Linked DNA regions of Saccharomyces cerevisiae S288C. The gene in region 1 interacts genetically with each later gene. Each region holds a gene or a part of one and is shown in the gene's direction. Other genes may lie near its edges. The genes, in order: PTP3 and RIE1.

What was found.
Region 2: mutations in PTP3 (region 1) and RIE1 together harm fitness more than expected from each alone (negative genetic interaction), as found in Saccharomyces cerevisiae (2 studies listed by BioGRID).

Annotation. Positions count from the first base shown.
Region 1 is NC_001137.3:309,583-320,705, reverse strand, and holds the start of PTP3 (tyrosine protein phosphatase PTP3), read left to right. Parts: upstream 1-9,506; coding exon 9,507-11,123. Other genes in the region: AIM9 (Aim9p), read right to left, coding at 1-743; YER079W (uncharacterized protein), read right to left, coding at 1,154-1,786; YER078W-A (uncharacterized protein), read right to left, coding at 1,896-2,060; ICP55 (aminopeptidase), read left to right, coding at 2,364-3,899; MRX1 (Mrx1p), read left to right, coding at 4,106-6,172; YER076C (uncharacterized protein), read left to right, coding at 7,208-8,116. UniProt on the Saccharomyces cerevisiae protein: Major phosphatase responsible for tyrosine dephosphorylation of MAP kinases FUS3 and HOG1 to inactivate their activity; it also has important roles, along with MSG5, in the inactivation of FUS3 following pheromone stimulation.
Region 2 is NC_001139.9:986,405-997,527, reverse strand, and holds RIE1 (Rie1p), read left to right. Parts: upstream 1-4,006; coding exon 4,007-6,352; downstream 6,353-11,123. Other genes in the region: histone acetyltransferase GCN5, read right to left, coding at 1-659; NOP19 (Nop19p), read right to left, coding at 1,299-1,889; MGA1 (Mga1p), read right to left, coding at 8,109-9,479; 6-phosphogluconolactonase SOL4, read right to left, coding at 10,789-11,123.

The DNA of each region.
Region 1 (11,123 bases):
TTTTTTTGATTGGAGGAACCGTCTTCAATCAATGGATCCCAATCTTTCATCAAGAGTTCTCCTTCGATAAATTCTTGTAAGACAAAAGGCTGCCTTACAGGGTTCAAAGAATTGACACCATAACAAAAAATCTTGGGAACTTTGATGCCCAACTTCAAGTCAGCAAAATCCATGGTTGCTACTTCACTTCTTATTCTGTAGGATAGAGTGTTTTCATTTTCCAGCGGATAAGGAATCCTCAAGATAAATGCCTTGTTCAAATTCGTGTCGACCTTGTATATTCTGTGATGTTTACCTTCGTGAATACTAGATAATGTGGTTACTTGAACTTTTTCATTTGGGTTGATTTTACCTATATTCTTTGGTACAACGTTATTGACCAATGAAACGGTCAAGTTCTTGTTAAACACTGGTGGTAAGATCTTACCGTCGGGGGCCTTAGCCATTTCATTAGATTGAATGTAGATGTCATTGAGAATGCGATTTAAACCTTCAATCGAAAACTTCGTGAATCTTTTTTCCTTTTCTTGCTTATCATTTTTAAGCCATGAGCCCCACGTATATTTGAAAAAGGCATCTCTCTTTGGATCATTGTCATTCGTTAGCTTGGTAAAAACTTCGTTTGGCTTATTGGAGATAAATCTCTTGGTGGCGGCGACGGTGATACATTTAATTGCACCCACTCTTTTCGAAGCTCCTACTACACACCTTCTGGAATGGCCAGCAACAGTGTACCTAATCATGCTTGGTCTTCGTATTGCTGTCTTGCTTGCTAAACAGCTTTTGCTACTTCTTCTTCGCTGATGAGAAAAGGGAGTCTACTAAATACAGTTCGGCTTAAAGTGTCGCTGGTCAGCAATCGGCCCGAAAATACATTGAACATTTGAAATTACCATGTTTCAAAACGAATATTTATTATAATTATTACTAGTAAAAGTTATACATAAGAAGGGAATAATACAAAGAAACGGGAAACAGCTAAATGTAGTATATAGCCGAAAGATGTGGACATATCCCAACAAATCGTCTTATGAGATCCTTTTTTTGTTTTATATTTTTTTTTTTTAGCGGGTATAAACGTATCATTTATATATTTTATTCTTTCCTTTAACTCTCAAAATTTGAGCAATTAGGTTACTGTGGTTCACGTGATTCAAGTGTGCACATTGCTGCTATGCTTTGTAGTATTATCCATAGAGTTTAGGGAGGGGGAATGGTCGGAGAGTGGGTAATTTGCATTGTCTAATGGAGCAGAATCAGCGTTACTTTTCTGGAAATAAAACTGGTCCGATAACGAAGTAGTAGAATCAGAGGTGAGATTGGAGTTGGAAGTGGTGTTGAGTTTGTAAAACTTTTCGGTTTGATCATGCGATACCTTGTATTTGTCATCCTTGTCATTCTTCTTTTTTTTGTTCTTCTTTTTGTTCTTAGGGTCTACCATATTGCTAGTCTTCGGGGTAGGAGACTTTGTTCCATTATTGTGATCATATTGTTTTCGAACCATGGAATTCAATAAATTAAGTGAATATTTCGGAATCCCATCTCTTTTGACATTAATCCCCTGAATACCATCCTTCGTGGCAATCATGGAGGCACCTGATGTGATGGAGCAACCTGAGTTCGTTCTCGTTATCCTATCTTCACCAGAGGCAATATTGGAAGGGCTCATTGATCTCTGATCTAAGTCCAGGTTAGTAGACCTGTTATTAGTGTAAATGGACTGATCATAGAGAGAGATGGCAGATGCAACATCTTTTGAGCTTATTGAATGTGATGAATCAGGCATTATTAACTATTCGCTTCCTTTTCTTATCTCAGCAGTTTGTGTTTTTTATTCTTATTGTTATTATCCCTTTTAACTATATATGCATAAGCTAAGTTAAATATTAAAATATTTATATATAAACGTTACAGGGCGTGTGAACACATTTGAAAAAATGCTGGAAGGTAATGGTAGATATAAGAATTGGAATAACAGGTTGATAGAGAATCGCCAAGCTAGAGAGTTCTGACAAGCGGCAAGGGGGAAGGATGAGACGCAGATACGAAAGCCGCACCATTAAACCGTAAAGAGAGAAAAATAAAGAATGACTTATTTCTCGGAAAGGCCAAATGCAATTATGCAACACGCACACATTCACACTCACACTCACACATAAACTTTGACTGAAACCAAAACTGTTGTGAGTAATAGCCTTTCTTGTTCATAAAATAGTACAAGATACAGTAAATATATATCAACTCACCTGGTATAGGGATCACTTACTGCACTGCAAAAGTGGATCGTTTGCGCAAGAAACTCCACCAATTCTAAAGAATATAATAGAAAAAGCTAATAGGAAAAGTGGTCATTTTCTGTTGATATGTTACATAGGATAAACCCAGTACGGTTTTCTATGCAATCTTGCCAAAGATACTTCTCGAAGTTGGTATCGCCATTGGAACAGCATAAAAGTAATACTTTTACTAATAGAGTCAGAATCCCCATTGAGGCAGGCCAACCACTGCATGAGACAAGGCCGTTCCTTATAAAGTCGGGCGAGTTGACACCAGGCATTTCAGCCTTGGAATACTATGAAAGAAGAATTAGGTTGGCGGAAACATTGCCTCCCAAAAGTTGTGTGATTTTAGCTGGTAACGATATCCAATTTGCATCTGGAGCAGTATTTTATCCGTTCCAACAGGAAAATGACCTGTTTTATCTTAGTGGTTGGAATGAACCTAATTCGGTCATGATTTTAGAAAAGCCAACGGATAGTTTAAGTGATACAATTTTCCACATGCTGGTTCCGCCAAAGGATGCGTTTGCTGAAAAGTGGGAAGGATTTAGGTCTGGGGTTTATGGTGTTCAAGAAATTTTCAATGCCGATGAATCTGCTTCCATTAACGATTTGTCTAAATATTTGCCCAAAATAATTAACAGGAATGATTTCATCTATTTTGATATGCTATCAACTTCTAATCCCAGTTCGTCCAATTTTAAACACATCAAGAGCCTGTTAGATGGCAGTGGGAATAGCAATCGATCATTGAATTCCATTGCGAATAAGACCATCAAACCCATCAGTAAAAGAATTGCAGAGTTCCGTAAGATCAAGTCCCCTCAAGAGTTGAGAATTATGAGGAGAGCTGGCCAAATATCAGGAAGATCGTTCAATCAAGCCTTTGCTAAAAGATTTAGGAATGAGAGAACTTTAGATTCCTTTCTTCATTACAAGTTTATATCCGGTGGTTGCGATAAGGACGCATATATCCCCGTGGTCGCTACTGGTTCGAATTCTTTGTGTATCCATTACACAAGAAACGATGATGTGATGTTTGACGACGAAATGGTTCTTGTAGACGCTGCTGGCTCCTTGGGTGGTTATTGTGCTGATATTTCGAGAACGTGGCCCAATAGTGGGAAATTCACTGATGCACAAAGAGATCTCTACGAAGCTGTATTAAATGTTCAGCGTGATTGCATTAAGTTATGTAAAGCTAGCAATAACTATTCCCTCCACGACATCCATGAAAAGAGTATCACACTCATGAAACAGGAATTGAAAAACTTGGGCATAGATAAAGTCTCCGGTTGGAATGTTGAAAAATTGTATCCGCACTATATTGGACACAATTTAGGTCTAGATGTTCACGATGTGCCTAAAGTTTCCAGGTACGAACCATTAAAGGTTGGACAAGTTATTACTATTGAACCGGGTTTATATATTCCTAACGAGGAATCATTTCCATCTTACTTTAGAAACGTCGGAATAAGAATTGAAGATGACATAGCCATTGGTGAAGATACTTACACTAATTTAACTGTTGAAGCAGTGAAAGAAATTGACGATTTAGAAAATGTCATGCAAAATGGCTTATCTACAAAATTCGAGGAGGACCAAGTGGCACCACTGTAATGTTATTGCTAAATTGAGTACACCCTGTATATACAGATACATAACTTATCGATTTAAGGTCTTTTAATATTAAACGGAAAATTCAAAAAAAAAAAAATTTACTGAAAATATCTTGAGATACTTTTCTTCAGCTTTCTTTTTGTTTTTTTCCTCTTCTTCTTGGGCACTGCTCTTTAGTTTTTATTTTTAGTTACGGCAAAATAAAGATGGGTCTAAAAATTACAAAAGGACAGCTGAGAACCAAGGATCTGAATCAATCATCCTCAAAGTCATCGCAGTCTTCAAGAATAGGTGTAGACACTTGTATATTTACTAGAATGCTACCCCGAATAAACACTGCAATTAATCTCACAGAGCATCTGCTGAGAAGATCTTTTCATTCACTGACAAATCTACAGAAAACTCAAGTAAAAGAAAGACTACATGAGCTAGAACGTCACGGTTTCATATTAAATAAAACATCCAAACAATTGGAAAGGATAAATTCTAAGAAAAGAAGACAATTGAAAAAACTGCAAAAGACAGCATACCCCAAGGATCAAGCTTTTCATATTCTTCGAAAATTTCATAAAATAAATAATGAGGCATTAGCAGATACAAAACTGGGGCCAACTAGCCAAAGCGACTTGAAGTTCCTATCCTTAACCAAAGATAAGAGACTCTTTTATACCATACTAGGCGTCAATGGAGAACAGTTACGTGATTCCAAATTAATCGCCAATGATGTTCAAAAATTTTTGAAAAGAGGACAACTGGAAAAAGCTGTCTTTTTGGCTAGGCTAGCTAAAAAGAAAGGCGTCGTTGGGATGAATTTGATTATGAAATATTATATCGAAGTTGTGCAGTCCCAACAAAGTGCTGTAGATATCTTCAATTGGCGAAAAAAATGGGGAGTCCCTATTGATCAACATTCCATCACAATCCTCTTTAATGGGCTCTCAAAACAAGAAAATTTGGTCTCAAAAAAATACGGAGAACTTGTTTTGAAGACTATAGATAGTTTGTGTGACAAAAATGAGCTCACGGAAATAGAATATAATACCGCTTTGGCGGCACTGATAAATTGTACCGATGAAACACTAGTGTTCAAACTTCTTAATAAAAAGTGCCCAGGTTTGAAAAAGGATAGTATTACATATACCTTAATGATAAGATCTTGTACCAGGATTGCCGATGAGAAACGTTTTATGGTGGTACTCAATGATTTGATGAATAAAATACCAGACTATTGTGTCGATTCTAAATTGTTATTTGAGTACTGTGAAGTAATATGTAGCCAGAAGTCACCAAAGATTGAGAAGCAAGGAATGGGACTATGGGCCCTCTGTGAATATTTTCAATTTGATAAGACCATTTTCAAGAAGTATTTGACACAAAGCGATTTTCCTACGTTAGTTCCACTAAGTCATTGGAACATCAATAAGCCATTTCCTCTCAACAAACATGTTGTGGGATTGTTTATGAATTACTGTTTGAAAAACAAGGAATATGATCTTGCTATGGAAATATTTAAGACATTAGAGGCACAGAACAACCAAATGTTAGATCAGAGCATATACCACAAATACATGGAAACTGTCATAACAACGAGGCCCATCACTTGCGGCGACGAGTGTCTGGACATTTATGAACGGGTAGCCTCGTCGGCACAAATCTCAATAACCAGGAGGACGTTAATTTTGGTGTACAACGCATTCCAAAGACAAAGTCTCAAGGCCGTTATAAACAAAGATGCATCAAATGCTGAAGCTACTTTGCACAAGATTCGGGGGTTTATAGATAGCGTAGAGGCCACATACTCATCAAAGTTGAACGGCAAAGTTTACAGGTTTAATTCATGGAAGTTCCTGTTTCCTATCGTTAAAAATCTGAACATGAATGATAAAGTGTCTACAGTGGAACTGAAAAGTATACTAGATGAATACTTGAAATCTTTATTGAATGGTGAGTTCGGGAAGGAATTTAAAGCGAGCATAGAAGACAAGCGGTTTGTTACGTTGGAGGGAATTCGTTTAGTCAAGGTTTTAACCGAGAGAATCAAGCTTCCGTCACTGGACAGTGAGGAAATAGCCAGTTTAAAAGGCACGGAAAGAAAGAAGTTTCTTGCCAGAAGGCACCTTTTGAGGCTGAAGCAAATATTACTGGAAGATTTAGCGGACATTGAAGGCAACTCAAGAAGGAAGGGTGATAGCGAAAATACAAGTACCAGTGAAGAGCGCATCATGGAGGACTTGGCCGAGCTGATACTTGAAACCAGCTATGACAAGTTTTAAGTAAAAATTGATTATTTACTCCTTTCAATATGTACATAGTTTTGAGGTTTTTTCAAATTTTTTTCCTATTTTTTTTGTTAATTGAAAGTTACTGATGATAAATTATTCAAAGGTGGTGTTAATTAAGAATGAAAGTACATCTTCCTATACTATGAAGGAGAGGTTCATATAACACGCGCAATTGGCACGTCTTAAGTATCATCAGTACAATATAGTGGTATGTCAGGTAAATATAACATGTTCAGTGTAACAACTCATATTTTCCACGTATATATTGGATCTGTAACTCAATTGCGTCATTGTCTACATATTGCTTTTAACAGTTTCATTATTCTGTTACTGTTGCAATTATATATAAGCGTATAAGAGATGTGCCTAAGTATACGATGAGAACGCACATAATGTTATTATATCAACTCGCCTGTATATTTTTGTACTACTTGTTCCAACACGAAAATAAACCAAAGTAAGAAGGGTTAGCACCTTTTTTTGCAAGAGAAATCGCTCTTCAACTATTTTAAGTCAATCCTATGAAAAAGGGTTTGCGCCAGATTTCCAGGGACAAAAAAGAAAGTTTTATGTAAGACTAGATTGTGTTGATATCTCGAGCAAACTGTTAACCATTTTAAACCAATATAGTAATAAGTGTGAATAATCGTTCATCTCTAAACAATATGTAAATAATTCTAAAGAACAAAATATTTTGTCATTATCATCAACCTGTGAGCACTGAAAAAAAATTAATTCTAAAATGGTGCTCCATTTGCAAATATTCTTTCTATTTCCCTGACTCCCGCTAATCGGTTTTATTAGTGAAGAATACAGCCGTGGATTGAAAAACAAACTGGTTCAAGTCATTAACTGAAGTAATGCGACCACATCTTATACAAGAGGCAATGCTTTCTAACAGTTTTACATTATTCAAAATCTTCACATAGCCGTAACTTAACTTATATAATAACCGCATATTGGGCTCTTCTGAAAGAACTATTATAAGAAAGATACAAAAGCAAGCAATCAATCCAAGGGAGAAAAATGACCTCAGGATACTATACCGTCTCATTTTTTTATGCGATCTTATTGTTATGCGCATGCACACGTGCTGAGATCTACCTGACGGGCGGTGAAAGCCAGGGCTTGCCATCAGGATTCTGGCAAATGGACGATGATTTGGCAATCGCTCCAGTTTCTATGGTTGAATTTTACCAGACGATAGGATTAACTGCAAATGGTACTGTACCTGAGTCCTTCAACAAGCGTGATGCTACTGAATACCCTAACATTATCAGTAATATAACTACCCAAGCAGCCAACTTCACTCAGCATAGTCTCGTCGAGCAACTTCAAAATGACGTCACGGCAATAAGTATCAGTAATGCCATTAATGTAGCCGTCGATGGTTCTGTGGAAACACCAGCAGACCTGCAATACAACCGCAACCAGGAAACAGGTGAATCTACCCTCTGTAGAGCCAAGTTTTACGGAGTGGAGGTAAGAACTTGGTCTAGGTTGTACAATAGGGCCGTCTCTTCCACAACTCTTACGACTAATTTGAACAGCTACATAGCGCAATGGGTAGCATGGGCCGTTCACGGGAGCGGTGACAAGAAGTTTTGCGGCAGCCAGGAGTTCACGAATATCTTTTTTGATGGGCAAGAGGGTTGGAGTTTGTTTGTCAAGACGTGGTCAACAAACAGTAGCTGTGATATTACAGCCTCTGAAGGAAATTTAACATGTGCAGTTCGTGTTTCAGTATCCAGTATGCACAATCACGGCAAGACAGCGTTTTGTGTTACCTATAGCCACGGTGATTCTTGGCGTGCCGAGCTGAGAGTAGTTGCCAATGATGCTTGGTCCCATTATTATCCCTGGAGTATTGACTGTCCAGAAGTTGATAAAAATAATATGGCTATTAATGATTGTTTTGATCAGGCGCAAGGTTAACGATTGAGTTTCCCATAATTTTTACCGCTCTCCTCTTGGTTGAGACGTATGCGAAAAGCTAATTCGACGTTTTTTATTGTAAAATCGTACACTTTTGCAGGCAATTCTACATATTATATAAGATTTAAGTCGGATCTTGAGACTTTTGGTGAACTTTGAGATGATTGTTGGGATTCCGTTGTTGATAAAGGCAATAATATTATGTATACAGAATATACTAGAAGTTCTCCTCGAGGATATTAGAATCCTTACAATGGACTTGATATTTCTACATAAAAATATTACGATTATTCCTCATTCTGTTTTTTATGTTTCACCATCCAACAGATCTAAACTCATTTCTTCAGGTATTTATAACTTTGATTGGTTCATCTTAGGCATACTCAATCTTACCTTTTTCATGCGTGTAGGAACGAAACTCTAAAATCATCTACGGGTTAAAATTGCTTATACGGAGGTACCCCGTGTTGAGATCCAACACATACAGAAATTCTGGGCACATGGCGCAGTTGGTAGCGCGCTTCCCTTGCAAGGAAGAGGTCATCGGTTCGATTCCGGTTGCGTCCAATGAAATCTTTTTGTACCAAGTTTTTCTCTGTTTTTGTTAGACCGCAAGCGAGTTTACCGAATCACAGCCCACCTCACCCCACAGGAAAACAGCAGCAGAACGGCTGCTAAATGACTATTAACAATAAGAGGTTTTCGGCTACTTTCGCTGCTTGCTCGTTAAATCCGTTCACTGGTAGCGAACCTCAACGACAGATGTCTATGTATGCTATACGTAAAATCACCCCCATTATGGCCATTTTATGTGTCGCCACTGCTACACACCCACCGATGTGTATGTACTTCTAATATCTAACCAGACCAGACCCCACGCTTTTTCTGGCATCTCCTGCTGCCATCTTGGTGTAGTGAGCGGAAACTTTAAACATTAAACAGAATGGCGGCGACTTTGAGATTTGGGCCCGCTGACGCTGAACGAAAAGAAAAGACCTTCATGAAAAAAATATTTTGCGGCAAAACGTCATCGGAGAACACAGCGCAGCGAGAATGTGGTGTTAGCCAGACCCAACAGTTTGCGCACCTGGCATGGATGGATGCAGATAGGTAGTGTTCGATGCGCAAGAGTCCAATCTTCTCCTCGCCATTTGCACCGGCGGATGTAACACTATATTTTCATTGACCTTAGCGGTTTTCTTTCTTTGACATGTAACATCATCACTTCAAGCACAAACAAAGAACTGTATACACAGACCACAAACTTGCATATTATTCTAACATCGGTGTTATAATAGCGTAGGTGCTCTTATCACTGCAAAGTTCATAGAAAATCCGTATTGTATCTCCCTTCTCCATCAGCAACACAGATCTACTTATCATATAGAACATGAAGGACAGTGTAGACTGCCCAAGCATTCTACCCACCGACCGCACTTCAGTGCTTTCCGAGACTAGCACTTTGGTCGGATCGAGTTCGCATGTATATTCGAGGCATGCTCCTATGAACAGTTATCATAACAGCATGAACAGCAACATATACCACAGCCCCAAAGCCAGTAGCCCTTTGGTGAGCTATAAGACATCTTCGCCGGTGTTATTGAAGAGGGCGACCGCTCCTGTCCTGCCAAGCTTCAAGCCCAAGGAACAGCGATATAATAAGCCGCAGGGTTGTTCGCTAATTACTGCTGTAGAACTGGGCAAGATTATTGAAACCTTACCAGATGAAAAGGTGCTCTTACTTGATGTTAGGCCGTTTACCGAACATGCCAAATCCATTATCACAAACTCCATTCATGTATGTTTGCCTTCCACGCTGCTGAGGAGGAAAAATTTCACCTTTTCCAAACTCTTGGACAACTTAACTCCTAGCGAGCAAAGCGTGTTGAAATCTAAACTGGCCATCGATAACCTTCGGATTATCATTTATGATAGCACCGCAAATCAAACGGAAAGTTCTGTTTCTTTACCTTGTTATGGAATAGCGTCCAAGCTAATAGAGTTTGATACTAATGTTAAAAAAACCGTGTCTATACTAATGTGTGGTTTTCCTCAATTCAAAATTCTATTTCCAGACCATATAAACACCAACACATTTAACTCAGATTGCATTAGTTCGGCTGAACCTAAAAGCCCCAAGACAAACCTTATGAACAGTCTACACAACACAGCGCCGCATATGACGGCGACAACACCACTATCGTCTCCGCAAATGAACCTTAAGTTGAAAGTTCCTGACGATAGTAGGTCAGATCATTCAAACTTTTCCAGTTCTCCCTCTCCGCGTAACGTCCTATCAGATTCTCCCATGTCTTCTTCTTCCCCCATATCTGCCTTATTTAAGTTCCAGCTGCCTGCACCACAAACAAACATAAACCAAATGTTCAAATTTTCGCAAAATGAAGAAATAATGGGTTTAGAGACGTATTTGAGTGCAGTCAACATCAAAGAAGAACATGAAAGATGGTATAATAACGATTCTGCCAAAAAATCTTTACAAAACTTCCAATTCCCAAAGAACCAAAATTCTCTAGAAAAGGACACTAATAAAGACAAACTAGGGTTTCAGATCAGATACGAAAACCTGAGCAAAAATTACGAAAAGGAGGTCATTGACTCCGTTATACCTGAATGGTTCCAGCATCTGATGTCAATACCCAAGATCGAGTTGGTTTCTCAGTTTCAAAAATTAGATTTTTTGGAAAAAAGGCGCTTGAACCATTCTGTCTCTTTCAGGAAGAAGGAAAACTCGTTTATACTTGAAAAGCCATCATCATATCCTGAACAGTTAACATCAACTTCTTCTTCAACAATCATGCCTCCAAAATTTCCTGACGTGAACAAAGTACAAAAGAGGTCGCATTCTCAGCCAATCTTCACTCAATACAGTAAATATAAATCGATGCTCAGCCTTGAATCAGATTCCGATTCGGAGTCAGATGACGTTATAATATCATCAGGCGTTGAATTAGGAGCCAAGAACAGGTACAAGGATATTTTTCCCTAC
Region 2 (11,123 bases), on another chromosome or scaffold:
TATCCAATAGCGTAATTATCTGCATATGTCAAAAAATATTTTATGTTCGAGGTATTTCTAACATAGTCTTTTAAGTGATTCATTAGATGCGCACCATAACCGCGTACCTGTTCCGTCGAACTGATGGCACAGAAAACAATTTCTGCGAATTCTCTCTTATCGAAAGGTCGATATGTTATGCCACCTACGACAGTCAATGGCTTCCTAATGACAGCCATGGAAAGATGACTTCGATCATAGACTAACCTGGCAATGTATTCTTTGGGCATTTTTGGTAATTGCTTTTGAAAAATGTTTTTTAATCCAGTTAGGACCATCATGTTTTCTTTAGTATTATCATTATTCACCACCCTAAACTCAATTTTACCTTCATTTTCCTCTACGACACTGGGTCTCTCTTTGAATGTGTATTCAACACCATCAAATTCAAATTTGACAATTCCTTTTTCCACATCTGTAACCACTTCAGATCCTCCTATTCTCTCAGTTTCTTTCTCGAACTTTCCTTTATTCTCTTTATCGGTGCCCTCTTGTTTATTGGTCTCAGCCTGCTCAGGTTGTATTTCTTCAACGTTGTTTTCTAATTTTACCCGTTTAACTTCGGGATCCGTCGTAGCTCCATCCAAGTGATCCTCTTCAATCTGATGTTTTGTGACCATCTAATGTAGAATACGAACCTGAGTTAACTGAAGACTTTTGGGCGGCTCACGGTCTTCCCTTACCAATCCTTTGTTTTTATTTATTGCTTAATCAAACATTTACGCAGTATAATTGTTTAGGTTTGAAAAATCCATAAACGTATATAATGATACATATAGCTTCAAAAAACTGAAAGTAGAGAGAGTTGTAAGAATATATGAATATCCAACTATAAAAAATCTTGCGTAAGAATTTCAATAGTCGATATATTGTTTAGGTCCAAACACTTAAATATGCCTGTTTAACACGCGTTTGTAAAGTTCTAATTAATTCTTTTCCATACAGCGCACTACATGTCTTATTTTTTTTGTCTTTGCTCTCGAGTATTGAAAAGGATTGCGAAAAAAGCAAATAGTGGCTGGTCAAAAATTCTAGTGGAGCATTAAGCCTACTGAGGAAGGATCTGCATTGCTACATCTCATTTAATGTTATTCTAGCAACGTTAACGTACTCAGTACTTGCAGTATGCAATAATTGCCTTGGCTAGAATTCTCTTCTGTACGTATTCATTTGTTGACAAGCAAACATCATTACGCCCTACATAAAACAACAGACGAGGGAAGAAAGACGCATTTTTTGCTGCCCATAAGTGTTTAAGATTATTTACGTGCCTTCTTTTTTTTATCAAAAAGTAAACCAAATTTTTTTTTTGTGGACTTTTGCGGCATTGTCCCTGCATCTTCATCCTCTTCATCACTGGCACTATATGAGTTCGAAACGCTGCTTTTGCTATGCTCTTGTTTCTTCCTTAGTCCTTCCTTCTCGCCTTTCCTCATTTTTCTTTTAAGCGCAATCATGGCTTTCGTATCATCTTTAGTGATCCTGTACATATTATTTCGTTGCAACCCTGGGTCACTTCTTTTCTTTTTCTTTGCCAACGAACTTACCTTTTTATCACCCTCAATAAACTCACCAATCGTATGTATATCTTCTTTGGCGGAAGCGTCATCTTGTGTGCGGAAGTGTAGGCCCGATCCAATCTGCAAAACGGGAAGCTTGAAAAATGCCTTCTTACCATCCTCCAACTCCTTGTGATCTTTTAACTGTTTGTTACGCTCTGTATCATTGCTAATGCCGGTTTCATCTGATTCTTTCAGCCAGTCCAAAACTGCAGCAGTATTGTTACTGAAAGTAGACTGGAGTTTCGCTTGCAAGTTGAGCTTCTCTTGTAATTCTTTGGCCCTACTCATTCTGAACACTACCGAGGAAAGATAATACGGTATACTGTATCAACTGTAGATGTGAGAAGAGGATTTGTTTCAACATCTTATAAATCTTGAAATCTTTTTTATGCGTTAGTTTTTCCAATCTCATCGCTAGAAATTGCCCGCGTCGCAGGTCAATTACAGGCCGTCAAGAAGAAACAGCGGCCACTACGGTTACTTCCAATGCCTTTAAAGCAGGATCAAACATGCAATCATTATTGTCTTACTAAAAGGTTGATACATACATACTGTAACTAAAGCTGACGTTAGGAAATAAATATCTAAAACAAATGACAGCTATCGAACAGGCCAATTTAAGACGATTTTAGGTAAAAAAAATCCGGACCAAAGTGGCACGGCTTCTTTGTGTAAATGCCTTCCACTATTTTATTCAAGAGGTTGTAGGAAATGCCTCTCTTCAGATCTTCCAAACAATAACATTACATAACTGAACAGTGAAGGAGCATTCTGGTTTACTGTAAAAGTCTCCTCCTTGTCCCTCCTTGTTTTCCAATTAAGAAACTTTGTAGCGTCTAATTCATTGTAGTCCTGGTTCCTTGGCTTCGATCTTCTTTCAAAATACCAAAGCTTTTTTGAAAGGCAGTGTCTTAAAGATACTACGAATGTGGCTGCGTATCATATATGTATATGTATATATACAATTATATTCTATGTTTGAAAAGGTCGTTTTTCGTTCAGAACACTCGTATATCTTCGGCGGTTAGAAAAGATAGTGAAACTAAAGGAGGAGACTATAGAGACACTGCATTGTATTGAATAAACAAACAAGGCGACGACTCACTATTACAAAGTATTTTCATGGATGCAGCCCTAAATAAACCGTTGTATCTTATATCATTACGCTCAATAATCGTTAATGAAGAAGAAGGGCGGCTATTTTCGTAAATTACACTACAAACTTCAATTACATACGCAATTCTTGTCACATGCCAATGAGCACTATATCATATGCTACAAGCTCACATACACAAGGGTTATGTTTCCTTAGCGGCATATTTTTGAAAGTCAAAAAATGTGTACAACAGAGAGAAAGAGGAGGGCCGCAACAGCTTGAAGACAACAGATGAGAGCCAAGTTCGTATGTGGATTACGTCCGAAGGAATTGAACTTCCCAAGAGTAATGTGTACGGGACTGATCGAAATTCTCTCTTTTTCCTTAGAGCGTCTTTCTGCAGATCGCCACTACTATTCCTAGCGGAAGAAACAAAAGAACGAAAAAAAAAACACTAGCCTATGCAAAGGGGAATATAATCATATGGGAATACAAGGATTGTAGTACTTGCATATTGTTCCGGCCCAACCCATTTCAAGATCCAACTACTTCATGGTAGGAAGCACAGTTTTTACATTCCCGAGAAGCAGCGCCCGCTTATTGCCCCGATAGAAGCAAAAACACCGCAACTCGTGGTTACGGGGTAAGAAACCGAAAATTATTTAATCATCTACGGGGCTACGCTTTTACATAATCTCTAGAGTATTCTAGAGAATTGAGATGATTTATGTCTTTTCCCGGCTAACATGCAAGTAGAATGCGGATAAGCCTCATGGAGCGTGGTTGATTAATCGACACTCTCGGTATTCTCTTGTGTACGTACGATGTTTCTCCCGCTGATCCGATTACTAGCCGAAGACGTAAAATTGGCGCTTGATTCAATTTATGCCCTTCCCGGGAATAGTTGACCAAAGGGCAAAAAAATTCAGTCGGAGATTCCCTATTGGGCGGAATTTAGTAGATCTCTTTCCGTGCATAACGCCTGCCCGTTAGTCGTTATTTCACGTTAACATTTTCTTGGCCACTGCGCTATATAAATAAATACATATATATATGTCAAGCACAATAAAGAAACTTCCCTTAAATATTGAATAAGTAAATAATAGTTGAAAAGTGCCTTTTGTTCGAAGGATTAGAGTGTTCTTAATTTTAGTTCGTTCAACGGTCTCAAAAAAAGTGTGAACAAGTAAAGCATAGCACACATCCCAAATTACAAGGCACCCTGATTAAAAATCCAAAAATAAACCATAAGTTTTATTTTACTAAAAACATTATACGTGAAAGACAAACCGCATCAGAAGTTTCGAGGATGAATATTGCAGAAGAACCATCAGATGAAGTAATATCTAGTGGCCCCGAGGATACAGATATCTGCAGCCAGCAGACATCAGCGAGCGCAGAAGCTGGAGACCAATCAATAAAAATTGAAAGGAAAACTTCCACTGGTCTTCAACTGGAACAATTGGCCAACACAAATTTATTAACCATAAGAATAAAATGGCAGTTACAAGAAGAAGAAGATGATCACTGCAACTCTAGAATAACCGATCAAATAATGGACACAATACAGCACTACAAAGGTATCTCCGTTAACAACTCTGATACAGAAACATATGAATTTCTTCCGGATACAAGGAGGTTACAGGTTCTCGAACAAAATAAAGACATCTATCTTTACGAGCATGGAAGTCAAGAGTATGAGAAATCTTACAAAGATAACGAAGAGGAAGATGATTGGAGATACGATACCGTTTTGCAAGCACAATTCAAGTACCCCAAGTCATTAGAAAATGCATGTACAGATATCTCGGAATTACTCAAGAGCGAACCTATTGGTCAGCATATTGATAAATGGTCTATCGGTGTGAACAAGCATGCACTAACCTATCCTGGAAATATTTTTGTCGGGGGAATAGCAAAGAGCCTTTCTATTGGTGAACTAAGTTTCTTATTTTCAAAATATGGACCAATTTTATCAATGAAATTGATATATGATAAAACGAAAGGCGAACCTAACGGATACGGGTTCATCTCCTACCCCTTGGGTTCTCAAGCTTCACTTTGCATCAAGGAACTTAATGGAAGGACGGTAAATGGCTCCACACTATTTATCAACTATCACGTTGAGCGAAAGGAGAGAGAAAGAATCCATTGGGACCATGTCAAAGAAAACAACAATGATGATAATTTCAGGTGTCTCTTTATAGGCAACTTGCCTTATCACAATCCTGAAAAAGTAGAGACTTTGATTACACCTAAAGAAGTCATAGAAGTAATCAAGAAGGAGTTATCAAAAAAGTTTCCGGACTTTGATATCATTTCATATTACTTTCCGAAGAGAAGTAATACAAGAAGCAGTAGTTCAGTAAGTTTCAATGAGGAGGGGTCAGTAGAATCAAACAAATCTTCCAATAATACTAATGGAAATGCCCAAGATGAAGATATGTTGAAGGGTTATGGTTTCATCAAGCTTATCAACCATGAACAAGCACTAGCAGCCATCGAGACCTTCAATGGGTTCATGTGGCATGGAAACAGGCTCGTTGTTAATAAGGCGGTTCAACATAAAGTTTACAACAACCACAATAGCCATGACAGGCACCCTTCCATCAGTAACCACAATGATATGGAGGTTTTGGAATTTGCAAATAACCCAATGTATGATTACAATAATTATACATATGATAGATATTACTTCAACAATAATAAAAACGGGAACAGCAACGATACCTCCAATGTACGGTATTTTGATTCTGTAAGATCAACCCCTGTGGCAGAGAAAATGGATCTGTTCTATCCTCAAAGGGAATCTTTCAGTGAAGGTCGTGGTCAACGTGTGCCTAGATTCATGGGCAACAAGTTTGACATGTACCAGTACCCATCAACTTCTTACAGCTTACCTATACCAATGAGTAATCAGCAAGAATCAAACCTATATGTCAAGCACATCCCTCTTTCTTGGACAGATGAAGATTTATATGATTTCTACAAATCTTTCGGTGAAATAATCAGCGTTAAGGTCATTACTGTTGGGGGTAGTAAGAACAAGTATCGTCAACAATCGAATGATAGCTCATCAGATAATGATCTGCCAGTGGGATCATCAAGAGGTTATGGTTTTGTTTCTTTTGAAAGCCCATTAGATGCTGCTAAGGCAATTTTGAATACAGACGGGTATCAAGTGAGCAAAGATCAAGTGTTATCTGTTTCTTTCGCTCAGAAACGTGGTAATTTATCTTCAAGTGATGATGATGATCAATCCCAAACTGATAACTCATCAAAGTTCCAAAATTTTCAGCCACATAATGATTATCATAAGGCTTATCCAACAAAGTATAATAAGAAATTTATCAATGCCTTGATGACTCAGAACCAATCGCAACAGCAAGTCTCGAGGGAAAATTATTTCATACCACTGCAGTACCCTAATACCAACACAAAGCCCGTGAACAGTTACAACTTAATAAGTGCAAACCAAAATAACGCTAACTGGATGATGCCAATGTTCCCATCATTTGGGTTTATTCCACAGGTGCCGCCAGTGCCCTATATAATACCTCCGCAGAATCCTGCAGCAAATCATATTCCTATAATGGCAAACGGTAGTAATGAAGAGGAAGAATTTTCTAGTGGTGATTATTCTATGGACTACTAGATTGCATCAGGTCCATAAAATGTTTTTGTCTGCTTTTTTTTCTTCATGTATTAGTTGGTTTTTATTTTTATATTTTCATTTATCTTATTCATACTTTTTACTCCTTTTTTCTTCATTCTTTACGATCTTGGACATTCAACTAGCCTATGGTAACTTTTCTTATTACTTTGCCCCTCCTTGAGGTGAGTAAATTCTGCATCTATTTTTTTACTATGCAAAGGATAGATAAACAATTCACATGAATGTCAAAATTTTGAAAAACACTCATTATTCAAAAAGATTGCATAAAAAGATATACACTTAAAGTGCAAGATTATACCAACTTTCAGAATACGGAGAGGTTTTTAAGTGGATGAGCATTTTTTCATAACGTTCTAAAACGATATTTACAGTATTTGGTGGCTAAATGAAAAAAAGCCGTATCATGACTGTGCTAGAGAAAGTGTGGCAGTTACATAAATCAAAAGATACAATTTAGGTGCGGCCTCTATAGCCAATGCATGCTCACTGAATAGCACAACAAATTTTTGTTTGGCTAAAGCGATATCCTTTTCGACTTGCAGTTCCACTGCAAGTCGAGTATATTTCGGCAGACAATGTCATTCAAATATCTTGCCTACACTAAGAAATATGTCTCTCTTCTACAAATGTTCAAGTTAGGACATGCCGTAAATATGAAAATATTTGAGCAGATCAACCTTTCTAGAGTTTAAACATTGAAGTTTCCAATGGTCTGATACAAGCAAGCAATATGATTTAAAGAACTCCTTAATAACAACTGCTACAATTACTTTAGCTAGCTAGTACAGCAGGCAATAGGCATTTAACGCTTACACCTATTTTGCCTGTCTTTTTTTTTTTCTGACCTATTTTCGGCTCTTCTGCAGCTATTTTTCTTCATTTTTCCAATCCTAATCCGGAAAACTGAAGAAATTTACATCTTGGTGAATGCACTCTCCTCCGAACGCGTCTGAATAAATGATGTAACCTTAAAACTTTAAAAATAATGCGGATAACCTAAACAACCCTCTTAGATAAACATCAAGAAGTAACATGCTCATAAATACGTCTCGAATGATTCTAGTATTTAAAAAGCACGGAAGGAACGCCTTGAGAGGACGGAACAAGGCAATGGTTGCAGGCGATAAAGAATCAAGAGGCAACCCTCAAGCTTCCAGCCAGTGGAAGAAAACAGAGATGAAAGAAAAGGAGTGAAGTGCTTGCATAGAAGAGCAATACGTGGCAACAAAGTCCCGAACTTGCCTAAAAAAGCATAATTTAATTACATTTATTTAACTTTATTGCTCCTTCTTTCAAAAGTCGGAAGCGCGCGAGTAAAAAAAATTACAGAGCGAAGGAGAGGCGAAGGATAGATGGGGAACGAAATTATTGTTTTATTTTTCCTTTTTTGTTGGAATGTTAAGCGGATCCTTGCTAAAAGATCTGCTCTACTTTCTTACATTTGAAATTTTTAAAGTTTTCTCAAAAAAAAAAAAAAAATTGGAGAACAAGCGCAGCCGGAATGAAAAAGGCCATAATTTATGTTAAATTAATCATAAGAAAAATTGATAATAGCAAACATAGCTTGTGATTCTTTTTCTTTCGGTTTGTGAAATAATTGCATTCTTCCCCCTTGTATCTAGTATGCAAAAATATGGAGAATGTTCGTTCTTCCCTACGTTCACTGAATGTTCCTTGGTATCAACAGCGGTAACAGTTTGTTCAGTTGGATGCGATGTGTTCTGTTGAAAATAATTCAGTAAGATGCTGGTTTAGTGGCGACTTCACCTTTCGTGATTATAGGTATACTCTTGGGAATTATGCTGGACGTCAGAGAAGTTAAGGTCGATGATGTATTCGTAGTCTCTTGAAGGGGTAGGGCAGTTGTTTTAACAGATTGCATAGACATCCATTTACTTTCAAGTTGAATGATTTCCTCCTTGGAATTCTGTAATAGGGATAAGCTTGTTCGAAGGTCTTTGTTCATGGCATCATTAGTTAGAGTTTTATTTTCATCTTGCGATGCGCTGTTAATATGTTTTTCTATCAAATCAGTGATTGTTGATAGAGAGTTCTTTAAAGTTTGTATATGGTTATCCAAAGCTTGCCTTTCACTTATATTGCTTTTTTTGGGTAGTGTTACATTATTATTACAAACTCCTAAAGCAGGTGAGTTAGAAGCAGAGTTCGAAAGAGAGTTCATCATTGAGGGAAATGGAGTGGAGTAACTGCTATATGGCGGGACTGTAGGGAGCGGTTGCTGCTGCTGCTGCTGCTGCTGGGCAAAAGCTCCAGGATGATACGGCATTGGGTAATTAACAATTGGCAAGGAAGTTGTTTTCAGATCATCTGTCGAAGATAGTGTTCCTGATTTCTTCATCGGAGGTCCAGATAATGCTTGTGGAGAAAGTACTTGTTGCGGCTGCTGAGGCTGGACTATGCTATCTTGGGTGGAAAATTGATTGGGATAGTCATAAGAATTCATCATCCTCGCCGAGATGCTTTGCCTTCGCATCATGTTCACCGTGGGTTGTTGAGGGGGCAGTGAAGATATTAGGTAAGGTCCACTACTTTGTTGCTGTTGCGGTATACTGATATGTGGAGGACTTTGGGATGTTGAGTAATGGACGGGACTGCCCATAAACATGTTTGATGGTTCTCTTGCAGAAACTGGTCCGGATTGCTGAGAGAGAACATTTAACCTCGAAGCATCAACGTAACTGACAGATATTGGTGACAGTATATTCTTTCTTTTACCATCTTTTCCCACACCAGTGCTCTTTCTTTGGATTTTATTCAAGATACCGGCGTTGGCCTCTTTGAAGAAGAATCCAGATGGGTGGGTAAATTTCCATTCAACAAGTTCTTTAACGTTACCATTGTTGGCAGAAGATTGGTCTGGGGAAGGATGAGATAGTTTATGAAACCCGTACATGTGTAGTTGACGAACAAAACTATTGACATTTCCATGTTTGAAATAACGCTTCAGAACATGTGTACTAAAATTAGGGTCATATGGCTTCAAAAAAAATACCGTGTTATCAGTCGGAGACCAGTATATCCATTTATTTACTTCCGGTTCCAGAAGAATTGCATGAAGTTGGTGGACGAAAGTTTTAGGTTGCATGTGGCCACCGGTTCTCTGAGCTATTGTATTTTATGGCGTGGGTGAAAATTCAATATAGGGGTTACAGCTGCCTAACCTTAAAGCGTGTAAAGGAGATCTAGATCTTCTGCAATGATCAGCTACTACCAATATATATATATTGGAAAAAAAGGTAAGTAACGACGTATCAAGATAAAACCCCAAAGGAAGAAAGATGCAACCGAAAGGAAAGCATGGAAAACTTCGAGCTATTCACTACCTGATTACTTCAACGTTAATGAATACCCTAAACGTGATAAGTTTGTGCTTTTCCTTCGATATGGATATCTACTGCCTTCCATTTTCTGCTCTACGGGTCAACAACTGAAAGATTATTTTTTCGGTTCCTCCTTTTTCTTCTCGAAAAAAAGCTTAAATCTTTCAAAGACAAAAAAGAAAGATTGCACCAAATCAGCGCAGAAGGCAGCAACCAGAGAGACGGGGGCGCAGAGTCAACATCATATACGTAACAAGTTGTTCAGGGCGGATCGCTTCACGTCATACAAAGGCGCGGATATGCACTAATCTGCAAATCTCGCAGTCACCGTAAGCCCAAGCCAAAGCGAACCATCGGTGCTAAATCGGCCCGCCCGACTGAGACGCACAGATTCCTACGCAGGCTCTCCTTGTGCCGCCCACGGAGTATTCCGTTCACCCAAAAAAAAATAAAAAACGAAAGGGGCAGACCAGGGGCAGACCAAAGGAGGGGAATTACCGGCGTGGCTAATATTCCTTATTTTGCTTAGAGCACCTTCCGTTCCGCCGCCGCTGCTTCCTAATCTGGGGCCAGGAAACGTCTGCGGCGGGCCAGATTCATTCTCGAGCCAGGAGAACTGCGTAGCTTGCGATAAAGGGGCGAAATTAACCCTTCCATGCAGCTGGCCCGAAGCAATTTTATATTTCGTGTGCTCGCCAAAAAAAAAAACCCTGCTGCGTCCCTTATTCTATTTCCATGGAAATTTCCGTTAGCGCTGTTTTGCAGGTGGTTCCGAGTCATAGCATTAAGATTAACGCGTTGTAACGGTATCACCGGGTGAGCTATGTTTTTCTTTTAAGTTATGCAACCTTCGCGGAGGCTCGGTTGCTTACGGAACTTTTAAGGTTGAGTTTGCCTTCGGTACCCCTTTCCTTTCTGCTGTCAATTCTTCTAGAAGAACTGGGTTTATGCTTCGGGAGTAAGCTCCAACATACGCTGTAAAGAAGACAGTTGTCATTTATTTATTATTATGTAATGTAATTAAGGTTGTCTGTCGTGATTAACGGAGCCAGTTTCGTATAAAGACGAGTGTAATTAGCAGTTTTCAGGAATCAAGGCGCCAGCTTCGTCGTCGAGAAACCAAGTTACTTTGGTTCCGACCATTTCATTAACCAGCACACTAGGTAGTTCGCTATTTTTTACGATTAACACGTCATGCATGATAGCCTTTTTAGCAGCTCCCCTAACGAGAAAGCACACACTTTTAGCCTCGGCTACTACTGCTAATGTAAAGGTGATCCTGTCCTTGGGTGCCTTGGGCGAATTATTACACCATAAAACCTTGCGGTCCATCTCTTCTACAAGGTAATTAAATTCAACCCCGGGAAACAACGAGCATGTATGTCCATCTTCTCCGCATCCGAGTAAGA